Neurospora crassa OR74A: one gene and its partners. The protein of the gene in region 5 purifies or fractionates together with the protein of the main gene of each other region. This does not show direct contact. Links are inferred from orthologs where the notes say so. Each region holds a gene or a part of one and is shown on either strand. Other genes may lie near its edges. The genes, in order: NCU00493, NCU04404, NCU01992, NCU08811 and NCU07319.

What was found.
Region 1: the proteins of NCU07319 (region 5) and NCU00493 purify together in Saccharomyces cerevisiae (affinity purification with mass spectrometry; 6 studies listed by BioGRID). This does not show direct contact. The link is inferred for Neurospora crassa OR74A from reciprocal best matches to the Saccharomyces cerevisiae genes SEC27 and RET2.
Region 2: the proteins of NCU07319 (region 5) and NCU04404 purify together in Saccharomyces cerevisiae (affinity purification with mass spectrometry; 6 studies listed by BioGRID). This does not show direct contact. The link is inferred for Neurospora crassa OR74A from reciprocal best matches to the Saccharomyces cerevisiae genes SEC27 and SEC26.
Region 3: the proteins of NCU07319 (region 5) and NCU01992 purify together in Saccharomyces cerevisiae (affinity purification with mass spectrometry; 6 studies listed by BioGRID). This does not show direct contact. The link is inferred for Neurospora crassa OR74A from reciprocal best matches to the Saccharomyces cerevisiae genes SEC27 and SEC21.
Region 4: the proteins of NCU07319 (region 5) and NCU08811 purify together in Saccharomyces cerevisiae (affinity purification with mass spectrometry; 4 studies listed by BioGRID, with this or other methods). This does not show direct contact. The link is inferred for Neurospora crassa OR74A from reciprocal best matches to the Saccharomyces cerevisiae genes SEC27 and GLO3.

The regions. Positions count from the first base shown.
Region 1 is NC_026503.1:4,047,425-4,051,531, reverse strand, and holds NCU00493 (coatomer subunit delta), read right to left. Parts: upstream 2,809-4,107; 5' UTR 2,529-2,808; coding exon 2,526-2,528; intron 2,470-2,525; coding exon 1,835-2,469; intron 1,780-1,834; coding exon 969-1,779; intron 907-968; coding exon 817-906; 3' UTR 457-816; downstream 1-456. Other genes in the region: NCU00494 (hypothetical protein), read right to left, coding at 1-24; NCU00492 (hypothetical protein), read left to right, coding at 3,857-4,107. UniProt on the Saccharomyces cerevisiae protein: The coatomer is a cytosolic protein complex that binds to dilysine motifs and reversibly associates with Golgi non-clathrin-coated vesicles, which further mediate biosynthetic protein transport from the ER, via the Golgi up to the trans Golgi network.
Region 2 is NC_026504.1:3,471,260-3,475,555, forward strand, and holds the start of NCU04404 (coatomer beta subunit), read left to right. Parts: upstream 1-1,495; 5' UTR 1,496-1,933; coding exon 1,934-2,235; intron 2,236-2,300; coding exon 2,301-4,296. Other genes in the region: NCU04405 (mago nashi protein), read right to left, coding at 333-473, 536-623, 686-749, 809-904, 988-1,025, 1,093-1,130. UniProt on the Saccharomyces cerevisiae protein: The coatomer is a cytosolic protein complex that binds to dilysine motifs and reversibly associates with Golgi non-clathrin-coated vesicles, which further mediate biosynthetic protein transport from the ER, via the Golgi up to the trans Golgi network.
Region 3 is NC_026501.1:1,752,643-1,756,629, forward strand, and holds the start of NCU01992 (coatomer subunit gamma), read right to left. Parts: upstream 2,808-3,987; 5' UTR 2,636-2,807; coding exon 2,560-2,635; intron 2,461-2,559; coding exon 2,150-2,460; intron 2,083-2,149; coding exon 768-2,082; intron 705-767; coding exon 1-704. Other genes in the region: NCU01991 (hypothetical protein), read right to left, coding at 3,601-3,940. UniProt on the Saccharomyces cerevisiae protein: The coatomer is a cytosolic protein complex that binds to dilysine motifs and reversibly associates with Golgi non-clathrin-coated vesicles, which further mediate biosynthetic protein transport from the ER, via the Golgi up to the trans Golgi network.
Region 4 is NC_026504.1:5,157,948-5,162,071, reverse strand, and holds NCU08811 (arf GTPase-activating protein), read left to right. Parts: upstream 1-1,320; 5' UTR 1,321-1,656; coding exon 1,657-1,728; intron 1,729-1,805; coding exon 1,806-1,941; intron 1,942-2,013; coding exon 2,014-2,197; intron 2,198-2,290; coding exon 2,291-3,048; intron 3,049-3,129; coding exon 3,130-3,470; 3' UTR 3,471-3,795; downstream 3,796-4,124. Other genes in the region: NCU08810 (mitochondrial import inner membrane translocase subunit tim-21), read right to left, coding at 54-254, 342-587, 658-966. UniProt on the Saccharomyces cerevisiae protein: GTPase-activating protein for the ADP ribosylation factor (ARF) family. Involved in retrograde vesicular transport from the Golgi to the endoplasmic reticulum.
Region 5 is NC_026504.1:4,379,343-4,383,278, reverse strand, and holds the start of NCU07319 (coatomer beta' subunit), read left to right. Parts: upstream 1-1,129; 5' UTR 1,130-1,466; coding exon 1,467-1,484; intron 1,485-1,746; coding exon 1,747-1,770; intron 1,771-1,866; coding exon 1,867-1,912; intron 1,913-1,979; coding exon 1,980-2,121; intron 2,122-2,180; coding exon 2,181-2,371; intron 2,372-2,429; coding exon 2,430-2,629; intron 2,630-2,688; coding exon 2,689-2,814; intron 2,815-2,872; coding exon 2,873-3,113; intron 3,114-3,164; coding exon 3,165-3,936. Other genes in the region: NCU07318 (mannitol-1-phosphate 5-dehydrogenase), read left to right, coding at 1-210. UniProt on the Saccharomyces cerevisiae protein: The coatomer is a cytosolic protein complex that binds to dilysine motifs and reversibly associates with Golgi non-clathrin-coated vesicles, which further mediate biosynthetic protein transport from the ER, via the Golgi up to the trans Golgi network.

The DNA of each region.
Region 1 (4,107 bases), on a different chromosome or scaffold from region 5:
CTGAAGCTGCCCATTTGGGGACATTTTGTAGGATCCGTTGGTGACTTTCAGTTGGATGATGTTATTTGGACGTGGAAAGCAGCGGCTAAGTGGTTCCAGCCTTCAACTCCGGGACGCAAGATTTTGATTTGAATGACACGCGCAAGTCCATAACTTGGCAAGTCGGTTTGTATGTTTGGGGGATTTCGGTTTTGGTTTGCTAGACCTACAGCTTCACTTGCCTCGGCGTGATGTTGTTGTTGTTGTTGCTGCTGTTCTGCGATTCAGTCGTGTGGTCTCGTCCTGCCTGTTGATTCAAAACACAGTGCAGATAGAGCAGTTGCCACAGTAATAGAAATACTGTGCAGGGGCATCCGTACTGTGTAGGTATGACCTTTACAAGCTTACCTAGCGAACTACACACATCGACATCAATTACCATACTCTGTGCTTACAACAGCGATGATTGAGTTGGATAGCTCTTTGCGTAGATAGGCTTCTTTCTATATGGTACTGGATCATGAGGGTATCCATCCCCTTAAAAATGCGTAGGGCTCGTAGCTTACATGTTACTTTCAAGGATCCCGGGAGCGTCAAAAACCTCTTGTTCAAAAAGTCAAGTATGACCTTGGGTATCAACGGAAGAAAAGGAATGACAGCTCGAGCACCCACTGGCGCGGACCATGTACAACAGTATTCATTATAAAGGGAGTTGGACAACTCGGTTGCTTCCCATACATTACTCTAATTCTGGTGTGGAAGATGATGATCGAGACGCCTGGCCGGCATGCTACGGTCGCCCTTTTTTGGTTCTGCTCAAAACAATGACAACAAACCCTACTCAATGAGGAACTTGTCGGCCACCGATCTGATGTCCTTGGAAAACGAAACCTCTTCACCTTCATCCACCAGCTCAACAGATTGAACCTAGAATGTGTCAGTTGTTCCGTCTTTACCCGTTTTTCTGACATGAGGGGGCGACATCTTACATCAACCTCCACGAACGGCCACGACTTGGAGAACCGTACTTGCATCGGGAAGAACTCGTTCTCGTCATCGGTCTGCGCCTCAAACTCGAATGATCCGCTGGCGTTCTCCTCGCTTACGGTGCCTATCGACCACTCTAGACTGTCACCAGACACCTCATACACAGCGTCGAAGCTAGACACCTGAGGCTCTGCGCTCGTGTAGGGGATGACGACAGTAACGTCCTTGAGGGTATCTCCGCCAGTGAGCTCGTACTCGACCGTCAATGTGCTGTTGCCATCCGAGCCCTTGTTGACCCAAACGGTGAAGCTGATTGGTAGTGCGCTGGTGTCGTCGACTCTGGGACTGGCCCGCCACCTTAGAACTCCGACAGAGTTGTTAAGGGGGAAACCCTTTGTGATTTGAGACAACTGGATAGCCTGGGAGCTATTGAAGACATTCTTATCGACGTTCGGGTGAGTGCGGAACTGGGCGCCGTGGGTGGGTGTGGCGCTGAGGTTGAGCTTGATCCTTGAAAGCGATGGGTCGGAGACGCGAAGCTGGAGGTCACCGCTGACCGAGAGGGATTCGAGGGCACCATCTCTCGACAGCTTGGCACTGATTGCCTCGTTGATAAGGACGTGAATAGCATCCCTGTCGAGTGTCGAAGAGACTCTGGAAGCAGCAGGCTCTGCGGCAGCTGCCGGCGCGGCTACCGGAACAAGGGGCGCTTCCTCGGCCTCGTGTCCAAGATCCCCCTTCACGCGCTCGAAAATATCCGTATTCTTGGACTTCTTGCCCAACTGCATACCTTTGCCCTTTGGCGCATTGAACCTAGAAGAATGTGAGCTTGCAGGCCAGCCTGAAAAGAAGAGGGACTAACACATACTTGACCTTGTTCTTCTCGGCTTCGTACGTATCATAGGACTCGGTGACAGCAGGTCGCACCGGCGGGGTGTATGTGGGATATACCGGCGTCCGGGGTACCGCGGACCGACCAGTTCTGGCCGACTCCTTGCGCTGCATCTCCAACTGCTTGGCTTTCCTCTTGCGCTCTTCGGTGGCCTCCAGCTCCTTGTTGCGGGCAATGATTTCCTGAATGCGCTCCTCGTGGCTTTCCATCTCGAGGAAGGTCTTGATCTGGCTGATGGTGAGGTTCTCCCGGTAACCGAGAGTCACCAGCTCATCGAAGGCGCTGAGCAGTTCGTAGGCATTTCGGAGGATTTCGCGCTCGTCAAGGCTCTTGCAGGTGCTGGTGACAACCTGGGCAAAAAGGTGGAGCGAGTCGATGTCCTGAAGGATGTTGGACTGCTTGTTGGTGATGAGGACCATGTACAGCTCGTCCAGGGGCTGGTAGACGAATCGGACATTGTCTTGCTCGACAATGGTGTGCTGAGTACCCGAGTCGGCGGCCTTGGGGAACGAGGCGAGGAGAGCTTCGATGCGGGAGCGCTTGATGTCGTTGAAGGCGCGGGCTAAGACGGCCTTGCCGCCGCGGGTGCAGATGGAGGCAGCGAGGACAACCTGACATGTTCCGTCAATCGCTTCTTCCCACCAGGAGACAGGGATGGATGAGTTACCATTTTGACAGCAGTAAACAACAACCACGACTACTGACTCGAAGGGCGCTTCGTGGTAGTGCAGGGAGCTTTGGGATGCGTTGGAGGTAAGTCGTGAGCTTCACCTCCTGAAAGTTGTCGTGGACGGGAAGGTTGATGTGGTCTTTCCGTTGCCGTGCTGAGGTGTGCTGTCGGTCAGGTCCAATTGAACTGAAGGTGCCATCTGGAGGGACCCAGCGGGCAGCGATAGGTAGAGGTACCTGGACGGCAGCTTCACTGCAGCGTCAGGGCAGTCGGGTTCAGGCGGGCCAGGGCAACCTACTGCGTACACGGTGGCAGCGTCCTGGCCGGCCGACGAGGGGCTGCCAGCTGGCAAAAGAAATCCAGGGGCACACCATAGATACAAGTACAGTAGGTAGGTACCTCTAGGCACCCACAGGGCCCGCTAAACTCCATGCGGCACTTGCTTAGGTTCAGTTTCCTTCCTATGATCAATTCTGCGAATTTCACCGTTGTCCACACACTGCGGCAAAACCAACAACTGCACCTCTTTCTTCAACACGCACAACAGACGGCCCCGTGTGTCGAAATTTCACGATTTCCATTTCCATCCAAACCATCGCCTACCTCGAAAAACCATCCGCCATCGAGAAACTTGTTTCTCAATCGCGTCAAAGCATTGCCCAGCCAATACGAGTCTCGATTACGGATCATCAAATACCTACGCTACCTTTGTGACACGCCTCGTCATCAAGAGCTTACTCGACTCCGTTGCACTTCACCCACCTCCCAGCTCCGCCGCTCCGTGAAAGTGAGGCATCCCGATTATCTGCCTGCCGCGTTTCAGCATTCCATACCTCGATTCGATGTGCACTTTTGCCCAGAACATCCGCCCCAGAACTCTTAACAGCGGTTAAATCGTGTTGTCGGATTCCGCCAGTCCACGTGTCGCCTCACATCCCTTCACCGTTTCATTTTGCGCCCCAGAAGCGCCGTTGTTTGTCGGGCGTTCTTTGTCGAGTGCGGGGTTGCCCATTCTCAGCCATAACTCCAGAACCCGTGGTCTCTATATGCCCTACGGCTTCGCTTCCAAGAAGAAGTCACAGCCTTTCAGTCCAAGACATCCACCGAAACCCATCGCCAAGCTTGGGGTTTTGACCAGTGCACCAATTTTCTACGTCTTCGCTTCTTTCATGACGCTTGCTGGACGTACAATTTCTTGACAACGGCAATACGTCGCACCTTCTTAGAAACTTCGTGGAAGTTTTGCGTCATTTTCCAAATTTTCGTTCTTGATCCAACTCACTCGTCTGTGGCGCGTGTTTTGATTGACCCGCCAACCGCCAATCATCATGGAGCAAGTTAGCTTCGACGTTCGTGCCGAGGCGGGGAAGGCGGTATTTGACGATGACTTGATGCTAGATGCCGGCATGCCAGCCGACGAGCTTGTCTTAGAACTCGACGACCTACATGACAAGGAAGATGAGTACCAGGCGATCGATCTTGATGCCCAACCCGCCACAGCGGATGTTGAATTTGCTGTCGATGACCTCGAGGCTCAGCATAATACCAACGATGAGCAAGCAGAGGCGGCAGGCGGCGT
Region 2 (4,296 bases), about 910 kb from region 5:
GTAATGAGATGTCGGTGTTCCATCACTCGGTCTCCGCCTGGCAACTGCATCGGATATCTTGCCTCACACTGCTTGGTTGGTCATCATCAATAGCTGACACAAACAGCCATGACGACTCTTAGGTTCGGGGGCCAGTGGGGCGATTGGTCGATAATGTATACGATTGTGCCAGTCCCGAAGTTATCCATGTTAAATCCAGTTTCAAGAAACCCATCTGCGCCGCCAATAGATAGAAAAGAACGCCTTTATAAAACGCCGCATTATCCCACAAAATCTCTCCTTTCCATGAGTAAGGATATATCAAACTCGGGGTATTCGTTCGTGTCGGAAGATTAAATGGGCTTGATCTTGAAGTGCAAGGCAATGAGACTGAACACCAGCGCCTTGAGGTCCTGAACGAGGTAGTAGAAGACGCGCAAGCCTTCTGGGTCGGCCGAGTCCGTAACATCGTTGATCGATCCGATCTTGGCAGTCTATTTCCTGTATTAGCTCTGAACATTTTGCAGAAATAGATTCCGACACTGGCAAGACGCACCTCGAATGAAATGTGGTCGTTCCCGAGGCGGATCTCCAACTCCTGCTTTCCGTCTTTGTTTTTGGTCGGCCATTTCTCGTCGTCTTCCCTGTTGGCCTGTCAGCAGCCGCTCCATGTTGTTTGTATAAAAGGGTGAACATGATGTCGTACTTCATAATCTCGCTGTCCTTGATGATGCGCTTGATCTCGTCAATGACCAGAGAGCTGACGCACACTAAAAGAGACCCTCGTCAGTATATGGATGTCCACGGCCGGCTAAACAGTGTTTCCTACTCTCTTTCCTGATCAGACTGTCGTTACGGTAGTTGGAGTTGTTGGCATATCGGGCAGTGGCGCTACGTCCGTCGCCGAGGACGCGAAAGTCGAACTCTGTAGTCAAAGGGCGGTAGTTTAGCATCGTGGTCGTGGAAACGTGGGAGCTTGCGTCTCGAGGCGCAAATGGCTGAACACACCTAGGAACTCGTGGCCGAAGCGGCCCGAGTGGCCAGAGCTAAGCCGGCTGTTAGCATGGTGTTTTCAATGTGTGAGTGAATCGAATCCCGTAGGGGTGTACATACTAGTAGCGCAGATAGAAGGGTTCGTTGGCGGCTGACATGGCTGTTTGTTGCTTCTGTCAGTAGTAGGCTTTGCAAGACAAGAGGCAGAGATGCAGCCAGCGGCTTGGTTCCTGTCGCTTTTGGATGGACAACCTTGAAAGTCGCGCCCGCGCGGCCACGCTCCAGTGACATTGGCGGGGCACACGGCCCCACACTTGACCCCAGCTTGGCCCAGGGGCATTGTTTGGGCTCCAAGCTGACTCCGGGTTCACGAGCCTTCCTGACAGCTGGCAATCCGTATCTACACGTGATCCTTCGACTGTTTGGACAAGCTGGCAGATGGCAGACTCGGCCAGGAGATGGAGGCTTGGTGAGGCCGTAAGGGTGTCGGGGGGTCCGTGCTTCGCCGTGTGCTGTTGCGGCCGGCCAGAATGCCACATCTCCCAGGGGCCGTCTCTCGATAGAATTGACCGTCCTATCCACGCTGGCTCTTCCAGACTTCAACAACAAGCACAGGTGATGCTCCGCTCTCTCACCTCGCCGGCGCACTCCAGACAACCCTTTCATTGCGCAGCCGTCTCTTGATTTTCGGCCAACCACGACCCTGTCAGTCCAGGGGGAGGAAACCACATCCAGCACCAAGGCCAGCTCATCGTCACTCTTCAGGAGCTCGAGGCAGCCACTCAGTCCATCCATTTACTAGCACCACGCAACCTACAACGGGGCAAACAACACCTTACCACACCCGCCCCTCTCTAATTTCGATCCGCGACTCCTCTTCAGGACGCCCGGCCAGCTACTTTCTACCAAATTCAATCTCAACTTTAATCAAAGACGGCCCGGCCGCCGCCAGCTCTCCAACATGTCGTTCCTCGAAAATGCCTACAGCTTGGTCAAGGACAATGCCGTCGACGGCACCCCAACCGTGCAGGAGCTCAAGACGCAGCTCGAAAAGGGCACCGACGAGACCAAGATCGAGACCATGAAGCGCATTCTTACCATCATGCTCAATGGCGATCCCATGCCCCAATTGCTCATGCACATTATCCGATTCGTAATGCCTTCTAAATCCAAGCCCCTGAAGAAGCTTCTATACTTCTACTATGAGATCTGCCCCAAGCTTGATGCCCAAGGGAAGCTCAAGCAGGAGTTCATCCTAGTATGGTAAGGCATTCCGTGTCCGTCTGGGCATGCTGGCCCCTCCAAGCTGACCAGCCATTGCCTCGCAGTAACGGCATCCGAAACGACTTGCAACACCCGAACGAGTACATCCGAGGCAACACGCTGCGCTTCCTGTGCAAGCTGCGGGAGGCCGAACTTCTCGAGCCTTTGCTCTCCTCAGCCCGGGGCTGTCTCGAACATCGCCATGCCTATGTCCGAAAGAACGCCGTCTTTGCTGTCGCTTCCATTTACCAGCACTCCCCGTCGCTTATTCCCGATGCTGCGGACTTGATCTCCACGTTCCTCGAAGGCGAAAGCGACCCAACCTGCAAGCGGAATGGCTTCGCCGCCCTTGCCAGCATCGACCACGACAAGGCTCTTCTCTATCTCAGCACCGTCTTTGACGGTATTCCCAACGCAGATGAGCTTTTGCAGTTGGCCGAGTTGGAGTTCATCAGGAAAGATGCTGTTGTCAACACCCAGAACAAGGCGCGCTACCTCCGTCTTATTTTTGACCTTTTGGAAGCTAGTGCCTCGACCGTTATCTACGAAGCGGCCTCGTCGTTGACGGCCCTCACCAACAACCCTGTCGCTGTCAAGGCTGCTGCCAGCAAGTTCATTGAGCTTGCGATCAAGGAGGCGGATAACAATGTCAAGCTTATCGTTCTGGACCGTGTCGATCAACTCCGCCAAAAGAACCCCGGCGTCCTGGACGACCTGACCATGGAGGTGTTGCGCGTTCTCTCTAGCACGGATATCGATGTGCGGAGGAAGGGTCTCGAGATCGCTTTGGAGATGGTCTCCAGCAAGAACGTGGAGGAAGTCGTGCTTTTGCTCAAGAAGGAGCTGTCCAAGACGGTTGACCAGGAGTACGAGAAGAACAACGAGTACCGCCAGCTTCTTATCCACTCCATCCATCAATGCGCTATCAAGTTCTCCGAAGTCGCCGCTAGCGTCGTCGGCTTGCTCATGGACTTTATTGCCGATTTCAACAACAACTCCGCCGTTGATGTTATTAACTTTGTCAAGGAGGTCGTCGAGAAGTTCCCTCAGCTCAGGCCAGCAATCATTGCGAGACTGGTAGATACCCTGAGTGAAGTCCGCGCTGGTAAGATCTACCGCGGTATTCTCTGGATTATCGGCGAGTACTCGCTTGAGGAGAAGGATATCAGGGACGCATGGAAGAGAATTCGGGCAAGCCTGGGTGAGATCCCGATCTTGGCATCCGAGCAACGGTTGCTGGATAATGTTGATGGTGATGCCGAGGAGAAGGAGAAGGAGCAGGTCAATGGCTCAAGGGCAGCGCCGACTGGCTCACGCAAGGTCCTTGCTGACGGCACATACGCTACCGAGACTGCCCTTACCAGCCAGTCTACAGCTGCTGCACGCCTGGAGGCTGTCAAGGCTTCGTCGAAGCCCCCTCTCAGGCAACTTATCCTTGACGGCGATTACTACCTTGCCACTGTTCTCGCATCGACCCTTACCAAGCTTGTCATGCGTCATGCCGAGATCTCCTCGGAAGAGGCTCGCACGAACGCCCTCCGCGCTGAGGCTATGCTCATCATGATCTCCGTCATTCGTGTTGGTCAGTCGCAGTTCGTCAAGGCCCCTATTGATGAAGATTCGGTGGATCGTATCATGAGCTGTGTGCGCTCCCTTGCCGAGTTCACCGCGCACAAGGAGTTGGAGACCGTTTATCTCGAGGATACCAGGAAGGCGTTCAGGGCGATGGTCCAGGTTGAGGAGAAGAAGCGCGCAGCAAAAGAGGCCCACCAAAAGGCAAAGACGGCCACCCAGGTGGACGATGTTTATCAAATCCGCCAGCTTTCCAAGAAGAATGCCACTGATGGGGCTGATGCTTTCGATGCCGATCTCGAGCGTGCCACTGGTGGAGACAACAGCTCGGCTGAGGACCTATCTGGCAAGCTTAGCCGCGTTGTCCAGCTCACCGGTTTCTCCGACCCTGTTTATGCTGAGGCCTATGTCAAGGTCCACCAGTTCGACATTGTACTAGACGTACTACTCGTCAACCAAACAACTGAGACCCTCCAGAACCTTACCGTC
Region 3 (3,987 bases), on a different chromosome or scaffold from region 5:
GTCGCTTCCCGCCAGGTCAAACTCGGCAACCTCGTACTCGTCATCGTAGCCGGTTTCTTCAGGCTCACCGGTGCTGGGATCAATCTCCTTGCTGGTGAACTTGAGGACGTTGGAGAAGGTGCTAACTGGTAGCGAACCCTCACCGCTGACCTTTCTGAATGCCACATATACCTTTCCAGGAACGTCGGTCTCGAGCTTCTCAGCCTGAATAATGAATAATTCTTCAAGCTCTTCTTCCGCGGGAGTAGCTACGACAGAGACGTTCTCTAATACGGTGTCGGGAAGGGTGTTCTTGACCTCGTACTGGAGCACAATATGCTCCTTGAAAATATGCTTGACAACTCCAACGACGTATTCGGTCTCCGCCTCGGTCAACTCTACCACCGGCGACGACTTGAGAACGGCGCCAAATTCTGCCATCTCGGGAATCTGCATCAACTCCTGCGCATATTTTTGCGCAGCTGCCGAGGCAGATGCGGCTGCCTCGGCGCTGGTGGGAGCCGCCTTGGTTGGTCCGACCTTGGGTGGCTTGAGTGAAGGTGTCGTAGCAGTAAGCTTCTTGGTCCTATCCTCGGCATCTGCTTGTTCGCGGGTAACAACAGGGATCTTGGAGATGTCGAAAGGCGCCTCGAATGTCGACCTGTCATCAGAAGTAACATACGTGACGAGCTGATGCTCGAAAAAGGGCAACGAGAACATGCTGTCTGTTGACATGTCAGTATGTGATCGCATCCGGCAAACGTAACATAAAGTAGACGAGAACTTACCATTCTTGACAAACCTGTTCGCAAGCTCATCCTCTTCCTTCATAAGCTTGAGGTTGAGAGCAGCACGATCGCGAACCTCGTCATCAACATCATCCAGACACCTGGTGAGGAGAACCTCTACGCTGCGCTTGACTTCAGGATCTTTCTGGCCGACACCAAATTTGGCAAGGGCAGTGACCGCTGCGGCGCGCACAATGGAGTTCTCGAGAACCACCCGGTTGTAGATGTATCGGATGTACTTGGTAGGCTGGGATGTCTTGGGTCCCTCAAGACCGAGGAGGTGAAGGACACGGACTGCCAACTTGGTGAACTCGCAGTCCTCAATAAACTCGCACAGGTGAGCGAGAGCCTCCTCCTTAGATTCGGGGACGAACTTGATAAGATCGAACATGCTCTCCACCACGGCGCGCTTAAACTCATAGCCACCCTCATCGCGCAAAATACCACTGAGGAACTGGAGCATGCCGGCCTGCTTGCTGGGAAACTTGAGGCATAGAGTACGGATGGCTTCGACAATCGTAATCTTGAACTCATCGGTGATTTCAGACATGAAGCCAGAAATTTGCTTCATCAGACGATCCACGCTGGCCTCGTTTCCGGTCTTGAGTAGGGTAGTAATGGCAAAAGTAGCGATGGAGCGGTTGCTGTTGGAGATGAGGAGCTCAATGTCCGGGTTGCATACAGCAACGGCCGCCGGCTTGAACGAAGCGAAGTTGTGGAGAATGCGAAGAGCGGCGAACTTGGTGACAGCGCGGGGCGAGGTAAGGAAAAGTTGGAGGACATGGACTGCCTGGGTGACCTCAGCGTCGGTGACATCCCGCATATCGCAAATCGCCTTTGCGGCCTCGAAGTTGACCATTTCGCTCTTGTGCCTGAGCCAGCCATCCAGCAGCTGCATCATGGGCTTCCTAAGGTGTGGGTCTTCGTCGGCCAGCTGGGCGGCAAGACGGACGAGCAACATGAGAGCAGCGGGGTTCTTGACGGCACCGGGAGCACCGAACTGCTGGACCATCTTCACCAACGCCATCCTGTCGTGCATGCGCATCTGATAAAGCAAGCCAATGGCATGGTATTGGGTCATAGTCGAGCTGTTGATGGGCAGATCTCTGTTGGAAGATCCGAAACCGAGGGAGAAACCGCCGGTAGACTTGGTGTTAGCTGCCGCTTCCGAGGTCTCATTCTGCCACCGTTTGACGACGTCCTTGGCGACGGGGAGAAGGTGATATGACGATACGAGGGCGGCAGAGGATACTGAGGGGTTTCTGTCGACAATGGCCGTCTTCATGACACGCTCGATGGACTGTACTGTGGTGGCCTGCACAAGGTCGGGGTTAGCTCCACATCGGATAACCATTAAGGGGTCGAGGAAGGGGGAGGCTTACATCGATGATGCGGCAAAGGGCGCGGATGGCATTCGGGCGGTAGATGGCATCGGTACTACCGCCAGTATCCTTCATAATGGTGCTGGTAACCATAATAATATCCTCGGCCGAGTTGGCCAGCTCCTTGATGACAAGGTGGACCATCTGTCGTAGGCTGGCATCTTTGTTCTGGAAGAGCTTCGAAATACCAAAAAACAGCGTCGTGGCTTCGTTTGTCGGGAATCTTTCGCCGGTGTAGAGGAGGAGAGCAATCTTGGTGAGGAGGATACGACATTTGCGCGGCTGAATGGGGGAGTTGTTGAAGAGGCGGGCTGTATGTCGAACCGGTCAGTCTTGAGGAGGTTAGGAGAGTATAAGGGCCACGTCCACCCGACGAACAATGCCTCAGCTGCCAAGGTACTCGGACTCACCCTCCTGGAAGACCTGGGTCCGGTCGACCTTGACCAGACCCGTCTCAGCATCCTCGTCCTTTTTGCCGTAATTCATGGCGGGCAGGGCGACGATGGGTGCTGGAGGTGTGATGTGGATTTGGGAAACCCAAGTTGTTGTTGTTGAGGCAAGTAAGTCGAGGCTAGAACAATAGAGGTACGAAATAACGGAGTAGCGTGTTGCCTGTGCGACGGTGCGGCCAGCAAGCGGGTATCCCCAAACCCGCGACGTTGCCAATTCCACTGCACAGTCGAGGGGGAGTCCACTGAGGTGTCAGGGAGTCCGTGCTCCCGGGCCACGCTGCCAGTCTCGCCAGTTAGAGGCTGAAAGCCTCCCGGCAGGAGCAAGCTTCTCCATGTGCATCGTCAACCTCAAGGAGCGGGTGTTACAGCGCACAGACCACCCTTCCAATATGTACATACCTAGTTACCTCTACATAGATGCTTCCCTCCCGCCTCCTGAGTAGATCATCGAGTTTAATTATTTTCAATATAATCACACGGGATGTTGTTCCTGGAAGACAAACTTGACATTGTTCAACCTGCCAGGTCACCTCACTTGTGCTTCTGAAGGAAAAATAGAACCAAGATTGCTAGTACGTAGTAATCACCATGATAACTATTGATACTTTACTTGGACCTGTTCAGTGCCAAGCTTTACATCCCACACTCGGTCTAGGTGGCCGCCTTCCCTTTCGGCTTGAATGACAGCTTGATACTGACTACTTTACTCAAATTGCATTATCGTGAGCCCTTCTTGCTGTCAATTGGTTCTCCTCAACGGTAGTCCCAGCCTGTACTTAAGGATACAGTTGGTCCGAGCATCCATTGTACCCATCTCTTCCTTTTCGTCTTCCTCCAAAAGGACATATAGCCTTGCTTTGGCTCATAAAAGCATGATTTGTTTTCTAGTATGTTTGCTTGCTCTCTTTTGGGGCGTACTCTTAGGCACAGCTTCTTATATCACTCTCCTGCTACGGCCCTCACCTGCGTAGCATCAGCGATCGGATACACAAATGGACCCTATGATGTGGAAGCAGCTTCTATCGCTTCTGCATCGACAGGCACCTCATCTGAGACCACTGCCGAGGCCTCGGGTTGCGCCTCAGTCTGTACCTCCGCCTGTGTTTCGAGTTGCATGTCCGGTTGTTCCTCGCCCTGCACCTGCGCTTGGTCCTCCGCTTCGGCGGCGCTTGCTTGCTCCTGCATCGGCTCTTGCGCGTGATAATCAGTATTGATGGGAAACCCGTTCCGGACGTCGTCTTCCTTGCGGTCGGGATTTTTGCCGCATGCCTTCACAGCTTCTTTCTCTTTTTTGCCCAGCACAACGAGATCAAAGGACGGAGGCAAAATAGCATCAGCCCTGTACCAGACGTGTCAGTAGCGGCCAGATAAGGTTTAGTAAGCAAG
Region 4 (4,124 bases), about 780 kb from region 5:
GCAACAATGACCAGCAGCCTTGAACAATATTCATACAAGCGAATGGAAGCCTTTCAGTTCCACTTGACACCCAAGAACTTGAACTCCTTGTTGCCACCCTTCTTAGCAGCCGCCACTTCTGCCTCCTTATTCTCCAAGTAAATTCTCTGATGTCCCCTCACATCCACGTAAAAGGTCTGGTACTCATGCTCCCAGTGACCTGGTTGCTTGGTCAGATGCAGCCCGACGACACCAGAACCTCTTGGTCCTTCGACCTGTTTTTCTTGGTGTTAGCCCCATCATCACAACAAATTTTTAACAAAACAGGGGAAAGAAAAAGAAGAAGAAGAAGTAAAACGAACATGGAAATGCATCTTTAGATGCTCCACACCCCTATTATCCTTCTCGACCGTTGCCGCGATCGGCCGCGCCCGGCGCCACTTGTTGTGTGTCTCTTCGCCGTGAGCAGCAATCTTCTTTGGGTCGCCGGGCGAAAGAAGGGCGACGCAGCGAGGGTCGGCACGGATCCGGTCAACGGCTCGGTTGAAGTAGGCGGTTTTGGACTCTGGGGAGAACACGTCGGTGAAGAGTAGGTAGGCAATTCCTCCCTGTGTGGTAGAGTTAGTACTACACACAACACACCGGAGTGAGCGATGAATTGGGAAGAAGAAAGCGTACGGTCAAAACCACACCCAAAATCACCAGACCAAAGTTGAACGTTTGCTGGACGGCGCGCCCGGCTTTTTCACCGGTGGAGAGCCGAGTCCAGGGCACATGGCCATCATCATTGAAGGGCGTTACGGATCTCCTCTTGGAACTTTCTTGCGTAGTCGCATATTGCCGGCGCGATGAGACGAGAATGACGCTAGCTGCTGTCGGAGGAAGAGCTCTCGAAGCTGCTGTGGTAATGGTTGCTTGTTGACGGACCACGGCGGGGCTCAGAAGAAGCCTCACACCCGCCGAAGTACCTGTGAGCATTTTCATCATGGAGGCTTCAACACAACACCCATATTTCAACGGCAATGTTTCAGCCGTTTGCGATTGTTATGAGAGCTTCAATGAGAATGAGAGGTCCGAACGAAGCTGTGATGAGCTGCGGTTGGATGAAGCTTTGGAACCGTTTGCCGGCACGGCATCTTTCCCGGCAGAGGAGGTCCGTCCGGCGAGGGGTGGAGTCGGGTTCGTGTTGCGCTCCACTAGGTAGAGACGGGACTGTGTGCCAAGGCGCCAAGATGCCACATGGAAGGGCGAACCTCCATGAGCAAGTGGAAGCGTCTGATTCTTGGCTGGGGAACACAAAGAAATGTGGCCCAACGTTCCAGTGGACGTTCCAATACCATACAGGTACGTAGGTAGGTTGCCAGGCAGCCCGGCTCTCTCCGCTGGGGCTCCCCCCCCGTCTCCTGAATTAACTGCGAGCGAATGACAACACTTGAAAGATTGACAACTTGTAACAAGCCCGAAAACCTACAGCGCCGCCTTGTTTGACTTCTCTCCCTCTTCTGCCCCCTTTTTCACCTTCCCCCCCCTGACGGCAGCACCGACCTACCGACCCTGACAACCTAACCGAGCAAAGGGGTCATCAACAACGACAGTCGAGATCTAGTGACACATCACAACCCTGGCAAAGGACAGACATACCTAATCCGAACCATCACCGGACTGCCGACCGACAAGATGAGCGGTCTCGCGACAAAGCAGCAGTCGCTCAAGCTTTTTGAGAAGCTCAAGGCGAAGCCAGCCAACAAGGTATGTGCCCACGCGAGCAGCGATCGACCCTAGACATCCAGAAAGCTAACTGCTGCCTCCCTTCCCGCGAACAACAGATCTGCTTCGACTGCGGCCAAAAGAACCCAACATGGACCTCGGTCCCCTTTGGCATCTACCTCTGCCTCGATTGCTCGGCCAACCACCGCAACCTCGGCGTTCACATTTCCTTTGTGCGGTCTACTAACCTCGACCGTATGTGCCCTCTCGATCTTTACTCCACGACGCGACACCTCGCCCGCTAACGCGAACCTTGTTCTTGTACAGAATGGCAATGGGACCAGCTACGGATCATGAAGGTGGGCGGCAATGAGTCGGCAACCAAGTTCTTTCAGCAAAACGGTGGTTCCGCCGCCTTGAACAGCAAGGACCCCAAGACCAAGTACCAATCTGCTGCCGCGACCAAGTACAAGGAGGAGCTCAAGAAGAGGGCTGCTAGGGACGCCCGCGAGTATGCAATGCCCCTACCCCTCATTTACACAAACCTGTTTTATTCCACGTTACATGAAATGCAATGCTGACGCGCTGTTTACCTCCCACCCAGATACCCCGAAGAAGTTGTCATCACCGACGGTGACGATGCCACAAGCAGCAACACCCCGGCCGGCGAGCCCGACGACGACTTCTTTTCCTCGTGGGACAAGCCCGCCATCAAGAAGCCCACGCCACCCATTTCCCGCACTTCCACACCCCCCGTCATCGGCCGCACCGCCTCCCCGCTCCTCGGCAACGGCAAGGACATCCAGCGCACTTCCTCGCCGCTCTCCAAGACCGATTCCGATGCTCCCACTCCCGCCCCCGCCGCCAGCCGCATCACCACCTCCGCGGCCCTAAGGAAAACCACCCCCGGCAGCAGCACCACCGGCGGCCCGCGCAAGGTGGGCGGCGGCATCCTAGGCGCCAAGAAGCCCGCGGCTAAGCTGGGCGTCAAGAAGATTTCGGCGGACCTGATCGATTTCGACGAGGCGGAGAAGAAGGCCAAGGAGGAGGCGGAGCGCATCGAGAAGCTGGGTTACGATCCCGAGGCGGAGGAGGAGAAGGCGGCGAAGAAGGCCGAGACCAAGACCAATAATATCATCACCCCTGCTGCGGCGCCAGTCAGCTCCTCCAGTTCGCGGTCGGCGGCGCAGGAGAAGTCGGCTGCTGAGGTGGAGAGGCTAGGTATGGGTGTCAGGAAGCTGGGTTTCGGTATGGTGGGCAAGCCCGGTGGTGCTGGTGCTGCGGCGGGCGCGGGAGGAGCGGCGGCGGCGAAGAAGAATGCGGGTGGGTTTGGAAGTGTTGGGCCTATTAAGGCTAGTGAGGGTATGTTTTTTTTTTCCCTCCTTTCCCTTTCTTTTTTTTTCTTTTTCTTACGCAATACTAACCAACATCGATACGAAACAGCCGACGAAGAACAATACGCCCGCAACAAGTTCGCCAACCAAAAGGCCATCTCTTCGGACGAGTTTTTCAACAAGGGCAACTACGACCCCTCGGTCAAGGCCGAGACCAAGGCCCGTCTACAAGGCTTCGAGGGTGCCCAGGCCATCTCTTCCAATGCCTACTTTGGTCGTCCCGAGGACGACGCGCCCGCCGAAGACTACGGCGACCTCGAGTCTGCCGCCAAGGACTTCATTCGCAAGTTTGGCATCACTGCCAGCGATGATCTGGAGAACCTTACGCAGATGGTGGGTGAGGGTGCCGGGAGGTTGCAGGGTGCTATCAGGGCTTATCTTGGGAGCTGAGCGGTGGAAATGGAAGAATGAGGCAGCAGTGTGGGTGGGCAGCTGGACGTGATGGGCGAAGGGAATTACCTAGTTATGAGACAGAAAGATGTGGACGAGCGGGTAAGGCTTCCTTTTAGTAAAAATTAGTATTTGTAGTGTAATGGTGAATGAATGTTTTATGGTAGAGAGCACTAGTAGTCTGGGCAGATGATGCGGGTTTCTGATATCTAACGAAGAGGATGACGGCCAGGATCTGGATGAGCTGTTCTCACATCCGTGGCGTAGGGGGATCTTGGTAAGTGACCACGGGAAGTATTCAAGCAACAAGAAAGAGATATGATGGTGTTCTATAGCGTACGGTTTTTCGATTACGGTGGCAGTCGAGGTTGACAGGGAGAGATCGTGATGTTGATCAGGGTTTCAGCGAGATTTTTGCTAATAACTGACTCGCGCAACCATAATAGAAGCTACTGATATAGGGCCTACCTTCAGCGTAATTCTATCAATAACAACAGCTGGTCCGATGGTGTAGTTGGTTATCACGTCAGTCTAACACACTGAAGGTCCCCAGATCGAGCCTGGGTCGGATCATGAACCAAACTTTCTTTTTTTGCGATTGTTTTTGTTTTTTTATTGACCTAATGTTCTCGGCCCCCTTTTTTTTTTTTTTTT
Region 5 (3,936 bases):
TGCAGCGCTCTGCTCGATGCTGCTGAGATGGCGTTCCGCTTCCAGAACGTCGAGGGCGACGAGGAGTCGGCCGAACTTGCTAAGATCATGGCGAGCAACAAGCCCGAGGACGTTGTCAAGCAGGTCTGCGGCTTGAACGAGCAGGAGAAGCTGTTCCCCAAGGTGGTCGAGGTTGTACAGCGCGTACAGGCCGACTTGCACGACGACTAGATGGAGCATTTCTGTCAACTTGTGTGTTTTGTATCCATTCTTACTTCATGTCTTATGATAAATGAGCGAAGACTTTACGGATAGGGAATAGGGCAACGGTGTCGTGGACCCTCGGAATCCGGAGAATATGGCGTTCATTTGGTTGCTTTCTGGGATATCAACGCGGAGCATTATACAACTGGGATCAATGGCGTTTAGCCGGGATCATATTGACATCCTGGAGGTTTTGGGTTTCCCTTTTTTCTTCTTCATTATTGTCTCTGCGCAATCACTAGAAGCGCTTTGCAATGATAGATATAGTTCAAGTCAATAAGAAGTACTCACACTCAATTCTTCTCCATGTTCCAGTAACGTTGTCGTATGCAAAGTGCGTCGAACTTGATCACTGCTTCGAGCTTTTTCTTTGAGCCCATATTTGGTGATTGCTGATAATGTTTTTAAGTAACGATGAAAATGGATGGGAGTACCGACTTGACGACTGACCGTCATCGGTCGCGCCTCCTGTTGCGTCGCTGAGACCTTTTGGTTTTGAAATACTCGTATCTTGCAAATTTGCTCGTGTGTGACACTCCTCCAAAATGTGATTGGGAATTGAGTCGTTCACAAAGTGACCGTTGCGTTGGTCCAAGCCTTTTGGTTTTTGACGATCTCCAGTGGTCGACTTTGGACGTGGTTTGGCGATGGTGATGGCTTCAAACACTGAATGCACCGACGGTGAGGGGGGCGCCAAGAGATCCGCAAAGCTGTAGTGTTGGTCGTTGCCTTAGGCAGCAGCTGGCGAGCGCAGGAAGTGACAGTGGCCGGCAGCTGTGCCCACTTGACCGCCTGAGGGAGAGAGTGGCCCGAGCGGCGAGCAGACCACAGCCGCGAAATTGTGGGCGGCGGCCGGTCGAGATACGTGGCGGGCACCTCTACAACCGTCCGCTGTCATTTCCGGCCCGTCGCAATCAAGTGTCAAGGCCTCCGAAGCCTCTATTCCGAATCCTCGTACCGCCAACCACGTCCCCCCCCCTTCGGCGGACCAGATATCCAATACACCAAATACATATAACCACGATTGCACCACTTCCGATAGCTTCACCCCTGACGAACCCGACGGCGGCTTTCTTGCACGGTCAGGGACCATCTCCAGCATCCAGCACGCACCCCACCTGAAGCTTGGAAGCTCGAGAACCGTTACGACCGCCCCGTCCTCTAATTCCAACTTGTAAACACCACACACCACACACCACACACCCACCCCAAACTCGCCCAACATGAGGCTGGATGTCAAGGCAAGTTCGCACAGGCTTCGTGTCTGCACCACCATGGCCGTGTCACCGAGACCCAACAGAACAACCCGATTCTGCAACCTGGCGCACACTTGCACCTCCCTTAGCTTCGGCCTGGGATCTTCCAGTTGCCCCTATTCCGTCTGCTGTACCGGCACCTCGACGGCCAGCTCCATTGCGCCGACACGTCCATCATCACATCGCTGCCTCCAACTGGGCCATCTCTCATTAGAAAACACCTGCTAACATGCCTGTCAACATGCAGCGCCAGTTGTTTGCCCGCTCTGAGGTTCGTTACCTGTCCTCTTGACCCCCTGATTTCTCCGGTACCAAGCAGTCTTTCAACATTCAAGGTTCCCATTGCTCACCCATATCCCGCACATAGCGAGTCAAGGGCATCGACTTCCATCCTACCGAGCCATGGATTCTGAGTACGTCTGATTCGACTCGCGATACGATGGGAGGGGCCCTGAATTCTGACACTACTTTGGTGATTAGCGACCCTCTACAGCGGCCACGTCTATATCTGGTCATACGAGACACAACAAATCGTCAAGACCTTCGAGCTTACCGATGTCCCCGTCCGCGCTGGTCGCTTCATTGCGCGAAAGAACTGGATCATCTGTGGTTCCGATGACTTGTATGTTCGACATGGAACTTGGGCTAGAGCTAGACAGGAAGGCTGACCTGGAATCCCAGCCAAATTCGAGTCTACAACTACAACACGAGCGAAAAGATCACATCCTTCGAGGCGCATCCCGACTACATCAGAGCCATTTGCGTCCATCCTACACAACCCTTCGTCCTTACCGCCAGTGATGACATGACGATCAAGCTTTGGGATTGGGAGAAGGGATGGAAGAACGTGCGGGTATTCGAGGGCAACTCACGTATGGCGCCACCAGCCTGATACATCGAAGCAGAGCGCGCGTGCTAACAGAGCTTCAGACTACGTCATGTCCCTCGCCATCAACCCCAAAGATACCAACACCTTTGCTTCGGCATGTTTGGACAGGACAGTCAAGATCTGGAGCTTGGGTTCATCCACACCAAACTTCCAGCTTGAGGCGCACGAGACCAAGGGCGTCAACCACGTCGATTACTATCCCCACAGCGACAAACCCTATCTTCTCACAACTTCTGATGACGTGAGTTATATTGACATCTGCTGGCGCATAGGACTTCACAGCTGACTTTACTGGCACAGCGCACGGTGAAAGTGTGGGACTATACCACCAAGAGTTTGATCGCCACTCTTGAAGGCCACACCAACAACGTATCCTTTGCCTGCTACCACCCAGAGCTCCCTATTATTATCTCTGGTTCGGAAGACGTACGTCGATATTGCACCTGTCCACTCGCTCGCAGGCTATTACTAACCGTAACCGCAGGGCACGATAAGGATATGGAACGCCAACACCTACAGGTTCGAGCAATCGCTAAACTACGGCCTGGAGCGAGCATGGTGTGTGTCATATCAGAAGGGCAAGCAGGGTATTGCTGTTGGTTTCGATGATGGTTCGGTGGTCATCAAGCTTGGTCGGGAAGAGCCCGCTGTGTCGATGGATGGCTCCGGCAAGATCGTGTGGGCCAGGCACAATGAGGTTGTATCTGCCGTGATCAAGGGTGCTGGTGAGTTACAAAACGGAACATCGAGAGTGACTCCGAGCTAACAGGGATCAGATGCCGATATCAAGGACAACGAACCTATCACACTCACCACCAAGGAGCTTGGAACCGCCGAGGTGTACCCCCAAAGTCTCATCCACTCTCCCAATGGTCGGTTCGCTGCTATTTGCGGCGACGGCGAATACATCGTTTACACTGCGCTCGCCTGGAGAAACAAGGCATTCGGTCAAGCCCTCGACTTTGTGTGGGCTTCCAAGGAGTATTCCAGCACAAACGAGTTCGCCATTCGTGAGTCTCCCACCAGCGTCAAGATCTTCAAGAACTTCGAGAACAAGGTCGGCGGTCTCGACGTCCCATTTGCTGCCGACGGTCTTACCGGCGGTGTCCTCCTCGGTGTCAAGGGCCAAGGTGGCATTTCCTTCTACGACTGGCGGACGGGTGGACTTGTCAGACGCATTGAGGTGGAGCCAAAGCAGGTGTACTGGAGCGAGAGCGGCGAGCTGGTTGCTCTTGCCTGCGAAGATAGCACCTACGTCCTCAGGTTCTCGAGAGAGAACTATAACGAAGCGGTCCAGGCTGGTCTTGTCGAGGATGATGGTGTTGAGGCTGCGTTTGATGTCGTTACCGACATCAGCGAGAGTATCCGTTCGGCGGAGTGGTTGGGAGATGTCCTGATCTACACCAACAGCACCAACCGTCTAAACTACTTGGTTGGCGACCAGACTTACACCATCGCCCACTTCGACAAGCCCATGTACATCTTGGGTTACCTCCAGCGTGATGGCCGCGTCTACATCACCGATAAGGACCTTAATGTTACCTCTTT